2 linked regions of the Coturnix japonica genome follow. The protein of the gene in region 1 purifies or fractionates together with the protein of each later gene. This does not show direct contact. Links are inferred from orthologs where the notes say so. Each region holds a gene or a part of one and is shown on either strand. Other genes may lie near its edges.

Region 1 (4,956 bases):
ACGGCTGCCGAGCAAAGGAAACCCACCCACCGCTCTGATTTAACCACTGTGCTCTAAAGGCTTCTGCTCTGTATATTTGAGCTTCACTGTATAATTTTATTGCCTTTGCAGGGAGGAGTGGGGCCTTGGAATTACCACCCCCAGGAAATACGCACCGTCTTGGAAAAACTGAAATAGAAAGAGGACATCAGAGTGAAGACTATATGGATACAGAAGGTCAAGGGATAAAGCTTTCACAGACCTGAGAGTTAAAAAAAAACAAAACAAAACACTAAAATCTCAAAATCCAAGAAACAACTAGAAAGAGAACAACGCATGTGCATTTAGAGAGCATCCGTATCGTGGTTCACCATTCATGTGTCTGGAGATGTTCAGCTCTGTTGTCAGTCAGCTGTTATGACTGGACACCAACATCTACATTCTTTAAGAATACGGTGCAGGTTCAACCTTCGTGGTGGTGACATTTGCAAGAGCCAATTTCAGGCAAAACAACTGATTTCACATCATTAAGTTTCTCTGTCTCTCTCGCATACAAACCATGTTCCTAAACGTTCAGTTTCTCTCACCTCAGAAGGCTTCTGAATGACACAATCTCTGGACATTTGTTTCTATAATATTTGTTATGACAGTCACAGCATAAAGCACTGACAGCTGTGACCTGATTTCAGAAAATATTTTTAGAAACAAAGGATTGATCTGCCGTTACTCGAACAAATAAACAAACAAACCTCTCAGAGCAGCACAGCTCTCGCTTGGTTTCTGTTCCCCTCTGGTTATTTGCAAGCATTAGTAGCTTACATTCATCCTATTAAACAGTTTATTTTGAGTTAATGAGCAAATTTCCAGTATAAGAACTTCTGAAGAGCTTCTTTGACAGTAAGAAGTAATACCTCTCATTTAAGTATTTCACACCTTTTCTACTCAGAGTGTAAGGGAAACATCTCACAGGAAACTGAGCTTTAATTCATGTATTAACAAAGTCTGACCTAAACACAGTTTGTAATAAATATTTCTTATGATAGAGATACGAAAATATAATACCAAAAAGAAGAGGTACAAATTTAAGCCAGACTTAAGTGTCTTCTGCTGTGCCCTCTGCCATCACCCTGTGCACCGACACAAAATGATCGAAGGCGGATTTGATGATGAATCGCAAATAAGTGGCCTGAAAATCAGGAAGCTGTAAAGAAAAGGAGAAATAACGTTAGCTCATTCTTGGTAGTAACGTAACTATCAAACTACTTACAGAAGCTCATGACAAAGATAGAGATGTTTGTTTCCAAATGAGAGGTAAGTTCAGTTCTTTTAGTAACTTGAGGTGCCATTTCACACCATCATCAACAGAGAAGCAGCAGCAAAGGGCAATACATCTAATGTCAGCTTGGCAATAATCGTGTCTTTCTCATAGCTTCCACCCAGTTAGTTTAGACATCCCACCCCATGACGGTGTATCCCGTGTATACTCACAGGAAATTCTTCCATTTGAAGCTGTCCTTCCGTGTGCTGCAAATCTAGAAAACATGGGTTTGTTTTCAGCAAATAATAAGGAACAGGGTGCAGTGCTGGGAGAAATTCACCAGGTTGAAGGGCCTGTAACCCTCATGCAGCATTCTATGTCTGCAAACAGCAATGTAGCCCAAGTGCCACCGCTTCATGCTCAGAGCTTTACCTTTTTCAACGCACTCTTTAAAGTCTACTGGGTCTTTAGATACGCTTCTTTCAATCCTCAAGCTCCGCACTAAAATACAGATGCATTTAAAGTATCAGTATAAATGCTGAGGTTTACGGGATCTTTATGTTTGTTGCATCATGTTTCATCTACAAAGTACCTTATAATTAACGCCTGCTCTAATGTAGGGGATAGGAAGTGTTTCAGAGACGTGGGGATGTGACACTGAGGGACATGGGCAGTGGGTCATGGAGGGGGAAACTGAGAGGTCTTCTCCAGCCTTAATGGTTCTGTGATGTATTAATGCATTAATGTGTATTAAATGTGACTATTCAGAACTAAGACGGTGCTGTGAGTGTGTACATATAAGCAGAGATATGTGCCCCAAACAACGTGAGCCATGTGCTGCTATGGGAGCCCTTACCCAGGTAGCACTGGATGCCCACTTTGCTGATGGTCACACGCTTTGGAAATCCAATGATGAACTCCTGCGGGAACATCCCTGTTGTCGTCCAGAACGTGTCGGAACTTCTGTGGAGAAAACAGCACAAAAGCACCCGCTGCGGCTCATTGCTTACGACCAATAAACAGAATAAAGAGTGGAAAGCCGCTCTATGTGGGGTGCTGTAACCGAACGGCCGTGTGCAGCGGGGCTGCTGTGCTGCAGGGCCGGATTCAGCTCATGGTTATGAGCCCTGTGAGCAGCATCCCACGATCCCGGCCCGCAGCCCTCACCCGTCCGCCACGTTCCGGGCCGGGTGCTCCGTGTCGCTGGATGTGGCCATGACGAGGGCAGCTCCCGCCGCGCTCAGACACCAGTCAGCGGCCCGCATCCTCACCATGGAGCTGGGAAAGCAAAGGACGGAACCCAACAGGAGGCCGGCAACCGAACGGCGCCGCCCCCCGCTGCCCGCCCCCGGCTCGGCCCCGCGATGGGCGGCGGGAGCGGGCGGAGCGGCCCGGCCGGGTGACGGCGTGTCGGGGCGGCCCCGGGGCAGGTAACGGGGGGTCGGGATCCCGCTCAGCTCCCCCCGCAGCCCGGCCCGGCTCCTGCTCGCTCTCGGGCCCCTTCCCCAGCCCCCGCCCCCGGCAGCTTTACCCACCTCTGGCTTCTTTTCGCAGTGCTGGACGTGGGGAATGTCGTACTGGCTCCACTCGGCTGCCGGGCCGATCTACGTGCGTGAACGTGGGGAGCTGCGCGTGGTGAGCCCGGGTGCGGGCGGCATCCAGAACGGGGCCCGCACAGCGCGGCCTGTCCGCCTGTTCCCCGCTGGGTTCTCCGTGGAGCTGCGTCTGAACGGGGAGGACGACAGGGCCAGGAGGCCGAGGACCGAGCACTTCATCTTCACCTACACCAAGGAGGGCAACCTGCGCTACTCGGCCAAGTCCCTGTTCAGCCTGGTGCTGGCCTACATCTCCGACAACGTTGACCACATCGACTCGCTGGTGGGTTTCCCGGAGCAGATCGCAGAGAAGCTCTTTTCGGCCGCAGAAGCGAGGCAGAAATTCACAGAACCCGTGACGGGACTGCGAGCCCTGCAGAAGTTCACCGAGGCGTATGGCAGCTTGGTGCTGTGCTCCTTGTGTCTGCGGAACAGGTAGGAGCACCCAGTGACACATCAGCATCTGTGCTGCTGTGCTTCAGGTTCTCTTGTTTTCTCTCAATCTCAAACATCCACAGTTTCTTTTCCTACTAGAGTGCCTCACCAAGCTGAAAACTGGGCCTGCTTTTAAAGCTTTGCTCCTGCTGAAGTCTTGGGCAGCGATATAATGAGTCTGCCTTCCATCTATACATTCAGAAAGGGCTGCTTTATTCAGTTTAAACTCAAAGGACAGGCACGTTTATCTGCAGTGCCAAGCACAGCAGGAATGTTTGAGCAGAGGTCAATTACCTTGTTTTATCCCTTCAAGGTACTCCCTCTTTTAGTACAGGTACCTTTTATGAGCTCCATTCAGAAATGGAATTACCTCTGGCATATTTTATCATTAAAACAAGCTCGGTTAAATGTCAAATCTTTGAAATCCAGGAAGTAAGACGCTAAGACATGTTTTATGAGCCTCATTTCTAAGAGCCCACTCATAGTAAAACTCGCATTACCTATCAAGAACTGTCTTGTATTCCAACTGCCTTCCACCCATCTGAGCTGCGTGGCAGAGGGATGTGGTGGAGTGCTTCAGTATGGGCACCAGCACAGAGAAAATGCTCTTATTCACATAGGCAAAAAGGTTCCAGGGATTATAGTAAGCACCCCTAATTTCACCGCTGAGAATGTTCTCCTCAGGGATTGCTTTGCCATGGGGGCGAAGAGGTAAATTCAGGAGATATTAGTGAGTTGAGGGATTGTCTTGCCATAAACACAGGGGAGATGGAGGTAGGTGATATTACAGCGCATTCCCATCTCTAAATCTCCTGCTGAATAGTTCCGGCACAGATGCTTGCGTGGCTGCAGAGTGAATCGGATCAGAGAACCAACACAGCCAAAGAAAATAACCCGCTGTGTAACTGCTGCCTGGGGTGCAGCCACAGCTCTGGTTGGAGTCCAGCGAGCAATGGTCTGTAAATAAGCCCCTATATATAATATAGGGCCCAATTATATATAGCGATGCTTGCAAGTCGAAGTCTTAATCATTAGTCTGGTACTCTGTCAAAGCAAGTGTGCTATCCGTTGGAGGAGAAGCTGGGAGCTCAGGTGCTTTGTAGGCAGAACAGTGTTTGAAAGGCAGTTACAACAGCTGGCTGATCTCTGTCAACTTCTGCATAGATATGTGAGAAATAACTGCATTATGCTTGTATTTGAGAGCATGGGACCTTTATTATCCTCCTCAACAGCGATAGCTTCTTTTGTTCCTTACAGATACCTGGTTATCTCTGAAAAGCTGGAAGAAATCAAGTCTTTCCGGGAGCTGACCTGTTTGGATCTTTCCTGTTGTAAACTTGGAGATGACCATGAACTTTTGGAACACCTCACTAAAGAGGCTCTGTCGAGGTACTCATTGCTTCACATGTACCAAGAAAGGACGTTTGCTTTTGCTGCTACTAAACAGTTCAAAGAATCGGGCTGTGACTTTGAAGGAAAATGTCACAGGCAGCAGCGTTTAAGGCTGAAGATTTGGGTTGTTGATAAAACCTGCACCTGAGGTAAACAAAATACAGAACTTACTGTACACGAAGCACGTGATCCAAAGGACACGCTGAATCTCAAAGGTCCTCCCAGTGTGCAAGTTAACTTACTGCTCGTGTATAAATCAGCTTCTTGCAGTATCAGTTGTCAGCTAATATAAATGCA
Region 2 (5,456 bases), on another chromosome or scaffold:
TCCCACCAAGTGGACTGAATTCACAAAAGAAAGGGAATGCTGCTTATTATTGATTTGCCTTGAGGAGTTTGGGGCATTTTGAGGACATCTCTTGAGACATCTATTCTTGCCACCTTGGAAGATGGAGAAGATTTGCAGAAGAACAGGCTACTAATTACTGAGGAAAGAAAGAACTTTAAGAGTAGCAGACTGATTAACCCAGATGACTGAAAAACCCAAGCACTCAATTTTGTTGTCTTCAACTAAAATATATTAAATGGTTCTTTTTCTTTTTCTTTTTTTTTTTTTTTTTTTTTAATATTCTTTCTATAAAAGATATTAACTAAAATACAGTATTAGAGGACAAGGCTGTTTATATTATATCTATAAAACAGCTGCAGCTCAACCATAGCTGTGTGGCATGGAACATGAAATGAAATAATCTGCAAGATGTAGTGCTGTGAGTCAGATGTGGTTCTCATAAGCCACTGATGGAACACTTCACAAAGCAAGCTGCAGAACAAGGTAAGATGGGATGCTGCCCTGGTCCTCTCTACTGTAAATTGTCCCCTGGTTAAAAAGAAAAGTGTCAGTATAGATATATTCCTCTGGTTTTCATTCATCATTTCTTTGGCTATCTGAGTCCATAGTTTTTGCAAACTTCTCTCGTTGGATCTAATTAGCGTGAAACATACTACAAATTTATCACAGCTTTCCTCACTAATAATTAAGGAAGTTGATAAGACATACAAGAATGTAATTCACTTTCCCTTTGAGGGCAAAAAAAGATGCAATTTTATTATAAAGACAATTTTATTGCCTTAGTATTACATTACAAAAAATGCCTTCCACAGCAGAATACAGTAAGAACAGGGATGAATGTAAACCAAACAAAACAGAAAGTAAATCAACTATGAAACCACTTATTTCAGTACAACAGGGAACAGTAATCCAAGTTTGAAGCAGCTTTTCCTCCTCTGAAAAATGCAGCACTTATTTTCCAGCTTATTGGAGCTCCAGGAATAGGCCAAAGTAATTGCACTGCACTGAGGTTTTGATTCCTTCTTACTCAACATGACCCATATCTTGTCCCCAACGAGGGTGAGTTTGTTGCAGTAGAGGAAAAGCTGTCATGAGAAAGGCTGCAACTTTGACTTGCCAGAGTCAAAAAGTTGCAAAGGATGTTGCTAGCACGGCTTACAAAGTTAAAACAATCCTTTCTCTTTATTTTCTTCTAGTGTTATGAAATAATTGACATTTCTTCCTTCTCTCTGCTCTCATTTAATACATTTATAATGCTTCTGAAGTATTTCATAAATTCCATCCGAACATCTTCAGGATCTTCTTCTAAGTTGGAATGTATCAGTTTCAGCTTGTTCAATGGGTAAGCTTTGAATGCAAGAAAAAAATAGTTAGGCATGTTCCTAAATGCAGCACTCATGATGAATGTCATGGGACAGTTCTTGCTGAAGACATCAGCTGGAATTCAGTAGTATCTGATGTCTCATACCCCAAATGACATATAATGTGAAAACGAAATGCAGCATAGCTTGACAAACAAGAACTTGCTGCTAGTTTAAATTCCTCAAATGTTATAATTAAGACTCAAAGTATTGGCATTGGTCTCACATTCAATTAGGCATAACTGAATAATTCAGCACTGAATTGCATTTTACTACTGAATTGCTAAGAGTTTTGAATTATATCAAAATTAGAGTGGTGTTATGTTAAATATGTATTAATATATTAATACTTATAATAAGAACTTGTTTGAAAACTCTGAGCAACATTCTGTATTCTCACCTAAGGACAGATTTTCTGTGTCCTCTGCACTGCCTGGCTTGTGATGTGCAACGAGGAGACACTGGCTATCGAGCAGTGGCTGCTGCTGCACGAAACACGAGTACCACATTTCGATTTCTTTCAGGTGACTGGGCTGCTCAGGATTGAAGATTATTATTACGCCATGAGAATCCTTCATAAGAGCTGGCCAGCATGTTTCAAACCTTGAAAAAGAGGAGCATGGAAAATGGTAAGACTGATAGCTGGAAAATGGAAACATGCAGTCAAACTTGGCAAAGTTTTCTTCTCCCCACCTCAACAATGTACCTTGGTGGATGCTCCATCCCTGAAGACACTCAAGGTCAGGCTGGATGGAGCTCTGAGCACATGATGGAGCTGTGGGTGTCCCTGTTCACAGATGGCCATTAAAGGTCCCTTCAAACTCATACAATTCTATGACTTTATGATTTCAGTAGCTTTTTGTGAAAATAATGTTAGTGATCTCGCCAATATCTATGATATTCCAAATAAACCTTCTTACTTATTCCTAAAAACTAATCTGTCCAGTTCAGAACTGTAATCCCGGGAAATTAAAGGCCTCCATCATATAAATACATTATTTGAAATCCATTCATGAAATAATTTCAAACAGATAAAGGCAGGGCCTCTGCTTTGCCTCTGATTTCATTTTGAGAACCATGGACTTGTTACATTCAGTCCTTAATCAAAACTAACACAGTCAGCTGGCATCACAGAGAGGGTTACCCAGTATTAAATGCTTTACAATAGAAAGCAATACATATTCATACAGGAGTGAAGAGGTGGGAATATTCCTCATCTCCAAAAGATCATTGCTTTCAGGGTCTTATGCATGAGAACGTTGTGTATACATGATTAATATGAACTGAATAACCCAGAGGAAGTAACAGCAATGCCTGCTTACTTCTGATCACCGCTGCAGTCCCACAGCTCAAATCGACACCCAGCTCCTTTGCTGTTCCCATTTAAGTTCGGCTTCTCATACTCCAGGATCCTGTGAACACAAGCAGGTACATGATATTATCCACCACCTCCTGCAGGTCGGTTCATTCTACACTGTTGTTCTCACCTTACTCCTTGTGTCGGGACATAGCTGCCAATTCCCTCTATGCTCTCTGAAACAAAATTTGCCAACACGGATTTTCCAGACTGATACATGCAAGAAAATAAAAAGACAACCGTATGAATTCAATGCACCAAAGCCACAACGAATGGAATAACACAGGGTTGCTCCCAACACCCTGCCCTCCATTGAGATAACTGCATACAGTCCTGCCCCTCTGCCCCGTCCCACTGAGGCCCCGCCTGGGAAGTGCAGCCCTTTAGGGTCAGTCTCAGTCCCCGATGAGGATACCCAAGGGTTACATGCAGCCCTAAGGACAAGCAGCGGCCTCAGGGCTCTCCCTCACCTCGCAGGGCCCCACCAGCAACACCTTGGCCTTCAACATGGCGGCCGCCCACGCGTGGCCTAGCAACGGGAGGGAGAGAAGGGGGAGAGGGAGGGTGCGCTGCGATTGGCTGTGCTGCCGTCACGTGGTGGAAGGGCTGGGTATAAAGTAGGGCCGGCCGGGGTGATGAGGGCAGTTCAGCGTTGCCGCTGTTGTGTTGCGGTTGTAATAGTTGAGGGGGGAGCGGGTGGTCTGTGAACCCTGTAAACGTGCTTTAAATGGCAGCTAAATCAAACAAAGCAGCCCCGAGCTGCCATCTGGCACACAGCTGTGCCGCTCCGGAGCTGTTTGGTGCCCACGTACAGCCCTGCTATCAGACGAGCTTTCAAACATTGCATTTAAGTGTTCCCATAACATAAATGTTTATTACGGGTTCTAAATGTGAGTCAGGGCTGCTCTGCTCTCGGCTGGGAGCTGGTTCTGTCTGTGTGTTATTGGTTTGTGGGGGTACGTGTGTGAGTCAGGCTGAATTCACAGTGCATGGGGCAGCCTGTCCTTAATGCTCTGTGCTGCTGCGGTATTTCTCGTGTTTCAGACCCAATAAATGGGATGGGTGACCCAGAGGGAAGTGATCAAGGCAGTTCTATTAGCTGGCACATCCACAGGTACATGGAGGGAAATGTGATCTAAAGGGCTGGATTGTGGGCAGCAAATTAGAAGGAAATAATGGACTAAAAATGGGTAAAGCTGGCTGCTGGTGCAGCTGCCCAGAATGCAATAGGGATTGATTTGTAGATGAAGTATCAGATCACATCCTCCTGTGTTTGTATCAGCCACTGAACAAGGAGAGCACAGGTGTGATTTTCAGATCTATTCATGTGCTTTAGGGCTTCAGGTCGCTTTAGAAAGTAGGAATTAAGCTGCCTGTCCGCTTAGGGTGATGTTTTCAAAGCATCTTGATGTTGATGTTACAATCAGCATCTGCCTTAGGAGTTAAAGTTCCGTTAGTTACTGATCCATCGGCTGAAAACTCAATCTGTAATTGAACTGCTTCCAGGCTGTCCTGGTAATGGTCTGTATGTTTTGCATTTATGATATGGCTGCTTTTTCACCATAACGTTTTGGTAGCAAGCAAAAATGATCTCCAGATGATTCTGTGCGGACAGATCCTCCTTCTTCCTTCCAAAGCAATTGCAGGCTATTAATAATATGTTAGTAAAATGATTCTTAGCACTGGAAATGTCTGTGGGAATTCAAACAGAGATGCAGTGATTGCTCTATCATGACATGTGGTGCTTGCTGCTTGAATTGCAGATAAGAGTCTCCAAGTCAGAGGCCCCTCCAAGTCAACACATCCCAATACTCTTATTTTCTGGTTCATAGTATGTGAATCTAGAGAGGAGATTTAGCTCCGGTGGTTTTAACTCTTAAGCTAAAACTGTTTAGGATGCCTCTAATAGATGTCGCTTTTGTTACTCTGAGTTTCTGTGGAGCAACAGTAACACCTAGTGGCTAAACGTGCCAGTCCATTGCCTTCTTTTGTTCCCTCCCTTCAAGAAGTACGAGTTGGAGGGGACTTGGTGTGATTGACAGCTTTGACTTGAGAGGCCAACACTCAGCATCTCCAGGGATTTGCCATTTTCCTTTCAACCCTCCACCACGTTCTGTTTTCTATTAGAAGTGGTAGATGAAATATGAAACTCTTCCTCCCACCTCCCAGCCCCCATCGCTTTTCTGGCTCATGGAGGAGGTTGTTCCAGTCCATCTTGATCTGTAGGTGGGTGGGCTGTGAGTGGCCGGGTCTACAGCTTCCAGCTTGGAGCACTCAGATTTCTGTATAGAATCCAATATTATTTTTTCCTTTTTTTTCCCCTTCTTTTTGGTATGATTAGGATCAAGCAGATCATCCGATGGATCTTGGTGACCTTGGTACATTGGATAACGTGGTGTTAACTTGCTTGCGTTGAGGCAGACCAAACTGATCTGTTCCAAACAGCACTATTTCTAAAGATGTGGTACACAGGATTGTTTGCCATGACCTGCTGGTTTATCAGAAGGAGATCCCCTATAAGAATAGTGTTTGAGAGGAAAGAACCCACAGATGTTCACTGTGTTAGCAGGGGAGCCCTTCAGAGGGTCTTCTCTCCCATAGCAGAGGAAAGCTTCAGTTTTTCCTTGGGGGGAAAAATGAATTAAGCAAAATTATTTCAGATAAAGCATTCATAAAAAGAGCTTCAACTCCATGGGAATTAACGTACGAAGCCATCA

Evidence for each region.
Region 2: the proteins of HSPB11 (region 1) and IFT22 purify together in Homo sapiens (affinity purification with mass spectrometry; 3 studies listed by BioGRID and IntAct, with this or other methods). This does not show direct contact. The link is inferred for Coturnix japonica from reciprocal best matches to the Homo sapiens genes IFT25 and IFT22.

Annotation. Positions count from the first base shown.
Region 1 is NC_029523.1:22,426,451-22,431,406, forward strand, and holds HSPB11 (intraflagellar transport protein 25 homolog), read right to left. Parts: upstream 2,807-4,956; 5' UTR 2,773-2,806; intron 2,668-2,772; exon of another isoform or gene 2,611-2,667; intron 2,516-2,610; 5' UTR 2,512-2,515; coding exon 2,405-2,511; intron 2,201-2,404; coding exon 2,094-2,200; intron 1,739-2,093; coding exon 1,670-1,738; intron 1,512-1,669; coding exon 1,468-1,511; intron 1,181-1,467; coding exon 1,073-1,180; 3' UTR 930-1,072; downstream 1-929. Other genes in the region: LRRC42 (leucine-rich repeat-containing protein 42), read left to right, coding at 2,807-3,267, 4,525-4,656. UniProt on the Homo sapiens protein: Component of the IFT complex B required for sonic hedgehog/SHH signaling.
Region 2 is NC_029534.1:2,513,932-2,519,387, forward strand, and holds IFT22 (intraflagellar transport protein 22 homolog), read right to left. Parts: upstream 3,310-5,456; 5' UTR 3,249-3,309; coding exon 3,210-3,248; intron 2,956-3,209; exon of another isoform or gene 2,950-2,955; coding exon 2,870-2,949; intron 2,795-2,869; coding exon 2,705-2,794; intron 2,381-2,704; exon of another isoform or gene 2,170-2,380; coding exon of another isoform or gene 2,076-2,169; exon of another isoform or gene 1,986-2,075; coding exon 1,783-1,985; intron 1,369-1,782; coding exon 1,220-1,368; 3' UTR 737-1,219; downstream 1-736. UniProt on the Homo sapiens protein: Small GTPase-like component of the intraflagellar transport (IFT) complex B.